Oryctolagus cuniculus: one gene and its partner. The protein of the gene in region 2 purifies or fractionates together with the protein of the main gene of each other region. This does not show direct contact. Links are inferred from orthologs where the notes say so. Each region holds a gene or a part of one and is shown on either strand. Other genes may lie near its edges.

Region 1 (3,843 bases), on a different chromosome or scaffold from region 2:
GTGCGTGGCAGGGCCCAGCTCCTTGGCACCTGCTGCCTCCCAGGGGAGCACTCACAGGAAGCAAACCTGAACCCAGGGCCCCCAGCCTGGGACACAGGGGTCCCAGCGACACCAAACATCTGCCCCCAACAAACAGGTGAGCCCTGGCCCCAGCCACCACACAACTCACTGAAGTGCACTAAAGGCCACCTGAAACGGACCAGGCGTCCAAGTCTCAGGGTGTGGACTGCAGCCAGAAAGCAGCTCTGGAGCCTGAGCCCACCAGGGCTGTGCCCGCCCCCACAGGGAGGCACACCCAGCCCGGGTCTCACCTCAGTGCCGTGCTGCAGCTCGAACTTGTAGAAGAAGGCCCAGGCGTCCCCCAGGTCCGAGTCGATCTTCACGGTGCGGTGGAACCACTCCCTGGCCTTGGTGATCTTCCGCTCGCTCCAGAACAGCCTGCTCCGGGAGAGGGGGGGCACCCTGGGTGAGTGGCCACACAGCCAACGGTGTCTCCCATATGGAGGGTGGGGCCAGCTACTTCAGCCACCTCTGCTGCCTCCATGGGGCTGTGACAGCAGAAGCGGGGACTTGAACCCAGTGCCCTCACAGGGAGGCAGGTGTCCCAGCCTGCACGTAACCTCCTAGGACAGACCCACCAGCAAATGTCCCCTGCGGCAAAATTCACACACAGCATCTTCAAACTCCTCCAAACCTCCTTTTCTCTGGACTAAGCGTGAGGGTACTTCAAAAAGTTCACGGAAAATGCAGCTGAAAGATGTCTGGTGCAGAACACTCGAGTCCATGCATCCGGGGCATCTTCATAAAGCCCACAGAGGCAGCCCAGTGTCACGTGTGAGAGCCTGGGTCCAACACCACGGGGCTCCTGCTCCTGCCGCCCTCGTGAGACAGCTGGACTGAGTTCCAGGCCCTGACTCTAACCAAGCCCAGCCCCAGCTCTCGTGGGCACTTGGGGAGTGAACAGGCAGATGGGGTGATGCTGTGGCGTGGCAGGTGAAGCCACCACCTGCAGTGCCAGCATCCTGTATGGGCTCCAGTTAGCGCCCTGGCAAACAGCAGCAGATGGGTCCATTGCCTCGGGCCCCTGCACCCACATGGGAGACCCGGAGGAAACTCCTGGCTCCCGGCTTTGGATCGGTCCAGCTCCGGCCATTTGGGGAGTGAACTAGTGGATGGAAGACCTTTCTTTCTGTCTCTCTGGCTTTGCCTCTCCGTAACGCTGCCTTTCAAGTAAATAAATACATCTTTTTTAAAAGTTCATAGAAAATGCATATTAAGACAAAGATTTCATCATTTTTGCACCAAGACAAATGCATCTTTTAATTCCAGTTTCCACATGTTTACAGGAGGTGACCAGGAGAAGCGAGGTCTGTGCCCACGCAGCCCCACCACACCCCTGGGCACCAGGGCTCAAGGCCAGGCCACAGCAGCTGCACCTGCCAGAGAGCCTGGGAACTCAGGCCAGGGGCACACCTGCACTGGGAGCCCAGAGCACGGCCTGTCAGACCACCCCCACCCCACCGGCCCAAGGCAGGGTCACTGAGGAGTGGGGTGACCTCCATCCTCACCCGGCCCCACCCCCACTGAGAGTGCACAGGAAGCCTGGCAGTTACCACCAGGAATCACTTCGGGCCCAGATAACCTGATTGGTTTTTAAGCCTTGTGGTATTCTTAATTGCTTGGTGTTAGATAAACTGTGATTTCAAGAACACAAACCCAGATAGCCGACACACGGACACTGAGCTGCCGAACGGCAAGGAGCGCCTTGTTTACTTTAGCAAAGCTTTTTATAAGGTTTTATGGCCGCCCTATCGAGCCGCACGCAAGTTCCTCAGGAGGAAGCTAGGCCATGCCCCCTCCCACACACCCACAGCACTGGTGGAGGTGCCGGGCAGGGCTCTGAGGGCCGCACCGCCACGGTCACACGCTGCCACCTCCAGAGCTGAGGGAGACCTCCGGTGGACAAGCCGCTGTCCTCACTGAGGCCTCAGAGCCCACGCAGGAGACCAACACCCCTCCTGACCGCCTCCAACACTACCCCTGCCCCTACCTCCTGCCCAGACTCAGGCCGAGCCCCTCGGCTATTGTCCTCTTCCCAGAAGGGAGTTAAGACCCTGCAGGGTCAGATGGCTCTCGAGGCCCTGCAGGCACTGCACACCCCAGCCTTCCCACTGCCCTGGGCTCTCTGCTGTAGCCACAAACAGCTGCCCCCACCCTGGGCTTCACGGCCATGTGCGTTCACACCCCAGCCTCATCCCCTGTGACCACCTCCCAGGTCCACTGATGACGGTGGAACCCATGGGCACTGTTCCCCCATCAGAGCTGAAGGCACCGAGGGGCCCCCCACCCCCAAGAAGCCTTTTCTAAGTTGTGCGTAAGCCTGGCCTGAATCCCAGGTCAAGGCAGGTGTCACAGTGGCTGAGACGAGAGCAGCACACACGGTCACAGCGAGGGAGCCCAGAGCAGAGGGGCGACCCCCTTACTGCCAGGAGCCCACGTGGTGGGGCCCCTCCCTGGAGACCACCCGCTGTGGGGAACTGAGCCCCCACAGCCCCTCAGGACCCCGCGAGGGCAGCCACTCACTTGGCCACGGCCAGGAGCACGTGGGGGTCGTGCTCACACTTCTTCAGGGCATCCACGCTCTTGGTCTTCCTCTGGGGCCTCGCCTCCAGGAAGATGGCCTCAGACCACAGCACACCTGCAACTCAGACAGTGATGCGCCTGTGCCGTGGCCTCTCCGCTCCGGCTTAGGAACCTACCCCCACACCACACGGGCTAGGAGGGCCTTGACCACAGCCAGGGCCTGCTGGGGAGCCACAGAGGCTTCGAGCCACCGCCAGAATGGCAGCCCCACTGTTTCGGCTCTGTGCAGTTCCAGCGCCTGCAAGGCCCCTCCCACCGGCTGTGTAACTTCCCGTCTGAGAACCCACGGCAACTGAGCAACCACAAATGCAGGGCAAGGGCCATGGTCCAGCTCCTGCTAACGCACCTGAAAGCAGTGGAGACCCGGATGGAGTTCCAGGCTCCTGGCTTGGGCCTGGGGCTGTGCCCCAGCCATCGTGGCCATTTGGAGAGTGAACCAGCATATGGAAGGTACTGGTCTCTCACTCTGTCCTTCAAATAAATTAAAAAAAACCTTTTGCTAGTGAAGACTCAAACAGAAAGACAGCTACCTCAAAGCAGTATCAGATTAAAAATCGGAGTGGAGGCTGGCGCTATGGCGCAGCAGGTTAACGCCCTGGCCTGAAACACCGGCATCCTATATGAGCACCTGTTCTAGTCCCGGCTGCTCCTCTCCAATCCAGCTCTCTGCTATGGCCTGGGAAAGCAGTAGAAAATGGCCCAAGTCCTTGGGCCCCTGCACCCACGTGGGAGACCCAGAGGAAGCTCCTGGCTTCGCATCGGCGCAGCTCCAGCTGTTGTGGCCATCTGGGGAGTGACCCAGTGGATGGAAGACCTCTCTCTCTGTCTCTACCTCTCTCTGTAACTCTTTCAAATAAATAAAATAAATCTTAAAAAAAAAAAAAAAAAAAAGGCAGTGGAGAGGGGCCAGCGCTGTGTAGCAGGTAAAGCTACCACCTGCATCCCATATGGGGGCCAATTTGAGCCCCGGCTGCTCCACTTCCAATCCAGGTCTCTGCTACGGCCTGGGAAAGCAGTAGAAGATGGCCCAAGTCTTCAAGTCCCTGCGCCCGCCTGGGAGACCCGGAAGAAGTTCCTGGCTCCTGGCTTTGGACAGGCACAGCTCCAGCTGTTGTGGCCATCTGGAGAGTGAACCAGCAGATGGAAGACCTCTCTGTCTCTAACTCTGCCTTTCAAATGACTAAATAAATGTTTAAGAAA
Region 2 (5,636 bases):
CCAGGCCTGACCGCGGCCCCGCCCTCCGTCTCCACAGCTCAACTGCTGCGGCTCCAACTCGCTGACGGCGCTCACCACCTCGGTGCTCAAGAACAACCTGTGTCCCTCGGGCAGCAACTTCATCAGCAACTTCTTCAAGGTGCCCGCGGCGGGGGGGGGGGGGGGGGGGGGGCTCCTGGGCCCGGAGGGGCGGGGCAGGATGTCGGCCCCAGCTGAGGTCGCCTCCCCCGCGTGCGCAGCGGCCGCCTAGCTGGGCCCTGGGGTGGGAGCTGAGGTCGCCCTCCCCTGCGTGGGCAGAGGCCGCCTAACTGGGCCCTGGGGTGGGAGCTGAGGTCACCTCCCCCGCGTGGGCAGAGGCCGCCTAACTGGGCCCTGGGGTGGGAGCTGAGGTCGCCCTCCCCCACGTGGGCAGAGGCCCCCTAGCTGAGCCCTCGGGTCGGAGCTGAGGTCGCTCTCCCCCGCGTGGGCAGAGGCCCCCTAGCTAGGCCCTCAGGTGGGAGCTGAGGTCACCCCTCCCCCACGTGGGCAGAGGCCCCCTAGCTGGACCCTCCCCCGCGTGGGCAGAGGCCGCCTAGCTGGGCCCTCGGGGGCGCCGCCAGGGCAGGTGGGAGCTGAGGTCGCCCTCCCCCGCGTGGGCAGAGGCCCCCTAGCTGGGCCCTCGGGGGCGCCACCAGGGCAGGTGGGAGCTGAGGTCGCCCTCCCCCGCGTGGGCAGAGGCCACCTAGCTGGGCCCTCCCCTGCGTGGGCAGAGGCCGCCTAGCTGGGCCCTCGGGTGGGAGCTGAGGTCGCCTCCCCCGCGTGGGCAGAGGCCGCCTAGCTGGGCCCTCCGGGGTGCCGCCAGGGCAGGTGGGAGCTGAGGTTGCCCTCCCCGCAGGAGGACTGCCACCAGAAGATTGACGAGCTGTTCTCGGGGAAGCTGTACCTCATCGGCATCGCGGCCATCGTGGTGGCCGTGATCATGGTGAGCGGGCAGGCGGGCGGGGGGGGGGGGGCCGCCCCGCCCCGCCGGCCCCCGCTGACCGCCCCCCTCCCGCCAGATCTTCGAGATGATTCTGAGCATGGTGCTGTGCTGCGGCATCAGGAACAGCTCCGTGTACTGAGGCCGCGCTGCCCCCGCCGCCCCCGCCGCCTGTACAGAGCCACCCCGCTCGCTCCGCACGCAGCTGCCGGCTCTCCGGGCTCTGCGTCTCCCCCGGAGCCCCTGTGGCTGACGCCGCGTGCCAGGGGCACCTGCCGAGGGGGGCCGGGCCTTCTTAATCCTGTTGCTTTCCTGCCTGTTCCGGGAGCACCTGTCCTTTCTAACGTCACCTTCAACTGTAACGCCCGCAGCTGGACACAGTCTGTAATAAAGGAGGAGACATCGGGCATGCTAACGCGCTGGCCGCCGGTCCTGGCCGGTGGGGTCTCAGTGGGTGGGGCGCTGGGGACAGAGGGGTCTGGACTGTGCCGAGCCCGCGCGGAGCGGACGGGACCAGGACCCAGGGAGCGTTCCGCGGGTGACCGCCCCTGGGGCACACCGGGCTGCGGGAGGGGGCGGCCGGGCTCCGGGCTCCCTGCGGGCAGCAGGCCCCAGGTCTGCTGAGACGTGGGTGGCCCCCCGGGCCTCAGCAGCATCTCGGAGCAGCCAGAGCAAAGGCCCCGCCTCGGCCTGGACAGCAGCCAGGGAGGACTGAGGCTGGCCCTGCGGAGGGCGGGGGCTCCTGCTGCTCCCAGCCCCTGGGGGACAGGGTTGCCTGGGAGAACTAGGTGCAGCGAGGAGTCCCCTCCACTCCCCCCGGGCCGTGCTGGCCCAGGCTGGCCTCTGGACGTGCAGGGCCTGGGGCCCCGGGGCTGCCAGGACAGGGTGGGTGTCCCAGAGGTGCCTGGGCCGTGCATGACCCGCCTGCTGTCCGCGGCTGGCCCCCCCGGGGTCCTTAGACGCCGGTCTCCCCGTGAGTGCCAGGACAGCAGGCCCCCGCAGGAGAGGGACTCAGGAGCTGGGGTCTGGCGGGCACCGAGCAGCCCCAGCAGAAACGGGGGCAAAAGGCGCTGCCCACTTGGGGCCTGGTGGCCAGCGAGAGGCCTGTCTGGGAGAGCCCGGGGCCGGACCTGCCCAGGATGGCCACGCCCAGCCCCGGCTGCCTGGGCCGCTGGGCAGCGCTCCGCGCGCCTGTCCCTGAGGGCCGGGGAACCGGAGAAACATCGTCAGAGGCTCCCGACGTCCAGCGCAGCCCACAAGCTCAGTGGCTGCCAGGCCCGCCCCGGGCATTGACGGATGGACCCGGGAAGGGGCAGCGACTTCCGCTTTCGGAAGGCCGGAAGTGCGGGCAAGGGCTTCTGCTCCACCGTGCGCGATGACGCACTTCCTGTCTACGTCGGCTGCTGTCTCCGCACCTCCCGGTAGGTGGCACTAAAACTCCGAGAGGCCTGCGCCTCGCCGTTAGTCGAGCATTCTGGGAGTGGCGGTTGGCTCCGCCCCTTCCTCCGTGTCAACGCTAGGCCTTTTCCGTTTCCGGAACCCGCTCCTGGCGCAGGGCTTGGAGGTGTAAGGAGAAGGGCGTGGGCGCATGCGCACTGGGGCACACGTCCCGTCAGGGCTCGGGAGCTGAGGCCCGGTGGCTTATGGGAGATGTAGTTCTTCGGTCGCGGAGGCCACAGTGCGCGGCTAGCGGGGGACTCGGTTTCCCAAAAGGCTGAGCGCGGCCGGCGGGGAACCCGAATGAAGGCGGCCGGCACGAGGAGCCGGTAAGTCCGGGAGGGCCCTCTGCGCGGCCGCCCTGACACGGCGAAGGTGTGCTCTGCTCCGCGGCAGAGGCGGCCGGAGGCAGCTAGAGCCGCTGCCCCTCGGCCCGGTCGCGGGATCCCGGCCTCCCCAGCCCAGGGCGCGCTCGCCGCGGTCCCTGCTGGGCCCAGCGCTCCTCCTGCGGCTGCTCCGCGGGAGGAGGTGCTGCGCCGCGCCTGGGTCGGCCCGAGGCGGGGAGCGCCGTGTGGAGGGTGCGCCCGGGCTGTCCTGCAGCCAGCCCCTCGGGAGCGCGGGTGGGGGTCGTGTCCGGGGCCGCGGGGGCGGCCTCTGCCCAGCAAGGCCGCTCGAGCTGACCCTTGAGCGCGCTCGCGAGCCCGACCCCGCCGGGGTGGCCGCGGCCCGGGCCCTGGGGCCCAGCCCTGGGCTCCGCCTCGTCCCAGGCAGCTTGCGGCCGGCCCCGCGCTCTGACGCGGGCTCTGTCCCCCGCCCCTCACCCAGCCCCGTCTGAGCAGCGGAGCCGAGGCCACCGAGGAGCCCACGCCGGGGCCACCGAGGACCTCCGTGGGCGGACGGGGGAGGTGAGAGCCGGGCCGGGGAGGGGCCCGCTGCTGCGGCCGCGTGGGCCGGCGACCCTGAGCTGCCCCCTCCCCGCGGGCTGCTTCCCCGCAGGTGCCGTGGGACGGGGCCATGGCCCAGGCGGGGGCCGAGGGGGACGCCGCGCCCCCCGACGACGCCGACTTCCCCAGCGACTCGGGCTCGGACTCGGACTCGGACCTCAGCTCTGGCGGTGCCGAGGCGGCCGCGCCGTGTGTAGACCTGCCCGCGGACTCAGAGGACTCCGAGCCCCCCTCGCCGCCCCCGGCGCCCCCCGCCCCTGCGGCCCAGCCGTTCTGCCTCCGGGGCACGAGCTCCGCCTTCTCCCGGCGCAGCCACAGCGTCTTTGACGGCCTGGAGGGGGCGGCCGGCGCCCCCAGGGGCCCGCGTGTCCCCGACTACGTGGCGCACCCGGAGCGCTGGACCAGGTACAGCCTCGAGGACGTGGCCGAGGCCAGCGAGCAGAGCAACCGGGCGGCGGCGCTGGCCTTCCTGGGCGCGCGGGGCCCGGCCGCCCCCGCCGCCTGCGCGCCCGCCTTCAACCAGGACTCCTCCAGCTGCGGGGAGGGCAGGGTGGTCTTCACCAGACCGGCCCGAGCCCGCGAGCCCAGGCCCGAGAGGAAGAGGGGCCTGGGGCAGGGCGCGCAGCCGGGCAGGGGCCTCCCGGGGACCGAGGCGGTGGAGCTGCCCCACCTGGCCGGGCCCGGGAGCCCAGAGGCCGAGGAGAGGGGCGGCACCCCCGGCGGCCTGCAGGAGGAAGACGCGTCCCCCGCGGCTGCCCACAGAGGGGCCTCGCCAGGGCCCCCCGGCCTGGACGCCGTCGGCTTCCACGGCGCCAGGAAGCGGAGCCGGGAGCACTTCCGGAACAGGGGCAGCGGCTGCGAGGGCCCAGCGGCTGAGGGGTGAGCGGGCCGGGCCGCGGCCGGGGGCCCGGGGCTCCATGGGTGACAATAAAGGTGTTGGGTGTCCTCGGGTCCTGTCTGTCGTCTCACTCCCCCTGGGCCCCCAGCCCCGCTCGGACCCTGCAGAGTGACGGCCCCAGTGTTCCGCTTCTCTGGGTTTTTGTTTGCTTTTAATTTTGAAAGATAGAGAGGTCTTGCGTGCACTGGTCCACTCCCCAGAGAGCCGCAGTGGCACAGGGGCCGTCTGCTGCTCTCCCAGCTGCAGCGGCAGGGAGTTGGGTCAGAGTGGAGCAGCCGGGACTGGAACCACACATACAGGAGGCGGCTTTACCTGCTGCGCACAGTGCCGGCCTGGAGGGGCTGAGGGGTCCCCCTGGGCTGGGGTCAGGCCACAGGAGTCCAGCATGGTGCCGGACAGGCCTGAGTGGTCCTGTAGCCGTGCCCACGCTCGCCTCTGGCTGTGCCCCACCCAGACTGTCAGGACGGGGTGCAGAGCCGGCATCTGGGGTCTTGTGCCAGGACTCCAGCCCAGCATGGGCCATGGGGGACAAAGGGTGGGTTCCCCAGGTCTGCTGGGGGAGGCCCACGGAGCGAGCATGTCTGTCCCCCACTCCCTTGACCCTTGAGGGCTCGGCCTGGTTGTGACTCAGCTCAGTGGGTGGTGTGGGTAGCCCAGGAGCCAAGGCCTGCCCCCGTGTGGACACTGTGGTTTGACCTGGGTTGGAGGGGATGTGGGCTCCAGGGAGCACCGGAAATAGAGCCACTTTGGGTTCAGGGGTGGGGACACTGCCGGAGCCGGCACAGGGGCGGCCGCCCTGCCCCCGGGACTGGGCAGCTGACTGGCTGTCTCAGGACCGACCGTCTGCGTCTCAAAGGACAGAACTGGCCACCACCAGACTTTAGTCAGGCAGCACGGCGGGGGGCGGGGTCCCTGGGCACCCTGCCCGATGCTGTCCAAGGTGGGACACAGGTGCACGCTGCCATGGGAGGAACGCCGGCAGGGTCTGGCTGGGGCTCCTGTTCATGAGGTCGGATGTCGGAGCGGGGTGGCCTGTGTCCCCCGGCCAGCACAGGCCAGGAGATGCCAAGCTGCTCAGGTGTCTGAGGGGGGCTGGGCGGCCTGTGGGTGCTCCCTGCCGCCAGCGCGCCCTCCACGATCAGCAGGGTCCTGCCTGCAGTTCTGAAAGCCTGCCGGGGATGGGGGACATGTGAGCCCCACGTAGGCACCCCCAGGGCAGCCGGGCAGCTGGGGCTCCGTCAGAGGGCAGCACCCAAGCGACAGAACTCCCGGTGGGATGGGGGGAGGCGGAGCCAGCGCTGGCCCAGCTCCCACATACTCACTCCAGGGGGCGCCGCCCTGGGCCAGCGCGTCGGCCACGGAGGACAGGACCACGGTGCAGTAGTTCATCTGTGGGAGG

Evidence for each region. Proteins that work in one complex are often made in the same cells at the same time.
Region 1: the proteins of TSSC4 (region 2) and PRPF6 purify together in Homo sapiens (affinity purification with mass spectrometry; 3 studies listed by BioGRID and IntAct, counting the BioPlex papers as one, with this or other methods). This does not show direct contact. The link is inferred for Oryctolagus cuniculus from reciprocal best matches to the Homo sapiens genes TSSC4 and PRPF6.

Annotation. Positions count from the first base shown.
Region 1 is NC_091442.1:166,613-170,455, forward strand, and holds part of PRPF6 (pre-mRNA-processing factor 6), read right to left. Parts: intron 3,115-3,843; coding exon of another isoform or gene 2,981-3,114; exon of another isoform or gene 2,699-2,980; coding exon 2,584-2,698; intron 439-2,583; coding exon 312-438; intron 1-311. UniProt on the Homo sapiens protein: Involved in pre-mRNA splicing as component of the U4/U6-U5 tri-snRNP complex, one of the building blocks of the spliceosome.
Region 2 is NC_091432.1:1,158,170-1,163,805, reverse strand, and holds TSSC4 (U5 small nuclear ribonucleoprotein TSSC4), read left to right. Parts: upstream 1-2,247; 5' UTR 2,248-2,333; coding exon 2,334-2,379; exon of another isoform or gene 2,380-3,220; coding exon 3,221-3,300; exon of another isoform or gene 3,301-3,391; coding exon 3,392-4,222; 3' UTR 4,223-4,289; downstream 4,290-5,636. Other genes in the region: CD81 antigen, read left to right, coding at 38-139, 875-961, 1,038-1,100; TRPM5 (transient receptor potential cation channel subfamily M member 5), read right to left, coding at 5,312-5,626. UniProt on the Homo sapiens protein: Protein associated with the U5 snRNP, during its maturation and its post-splicing recycling and which is required for spliceosomal tri-snRNP complex assembly in the nucleus.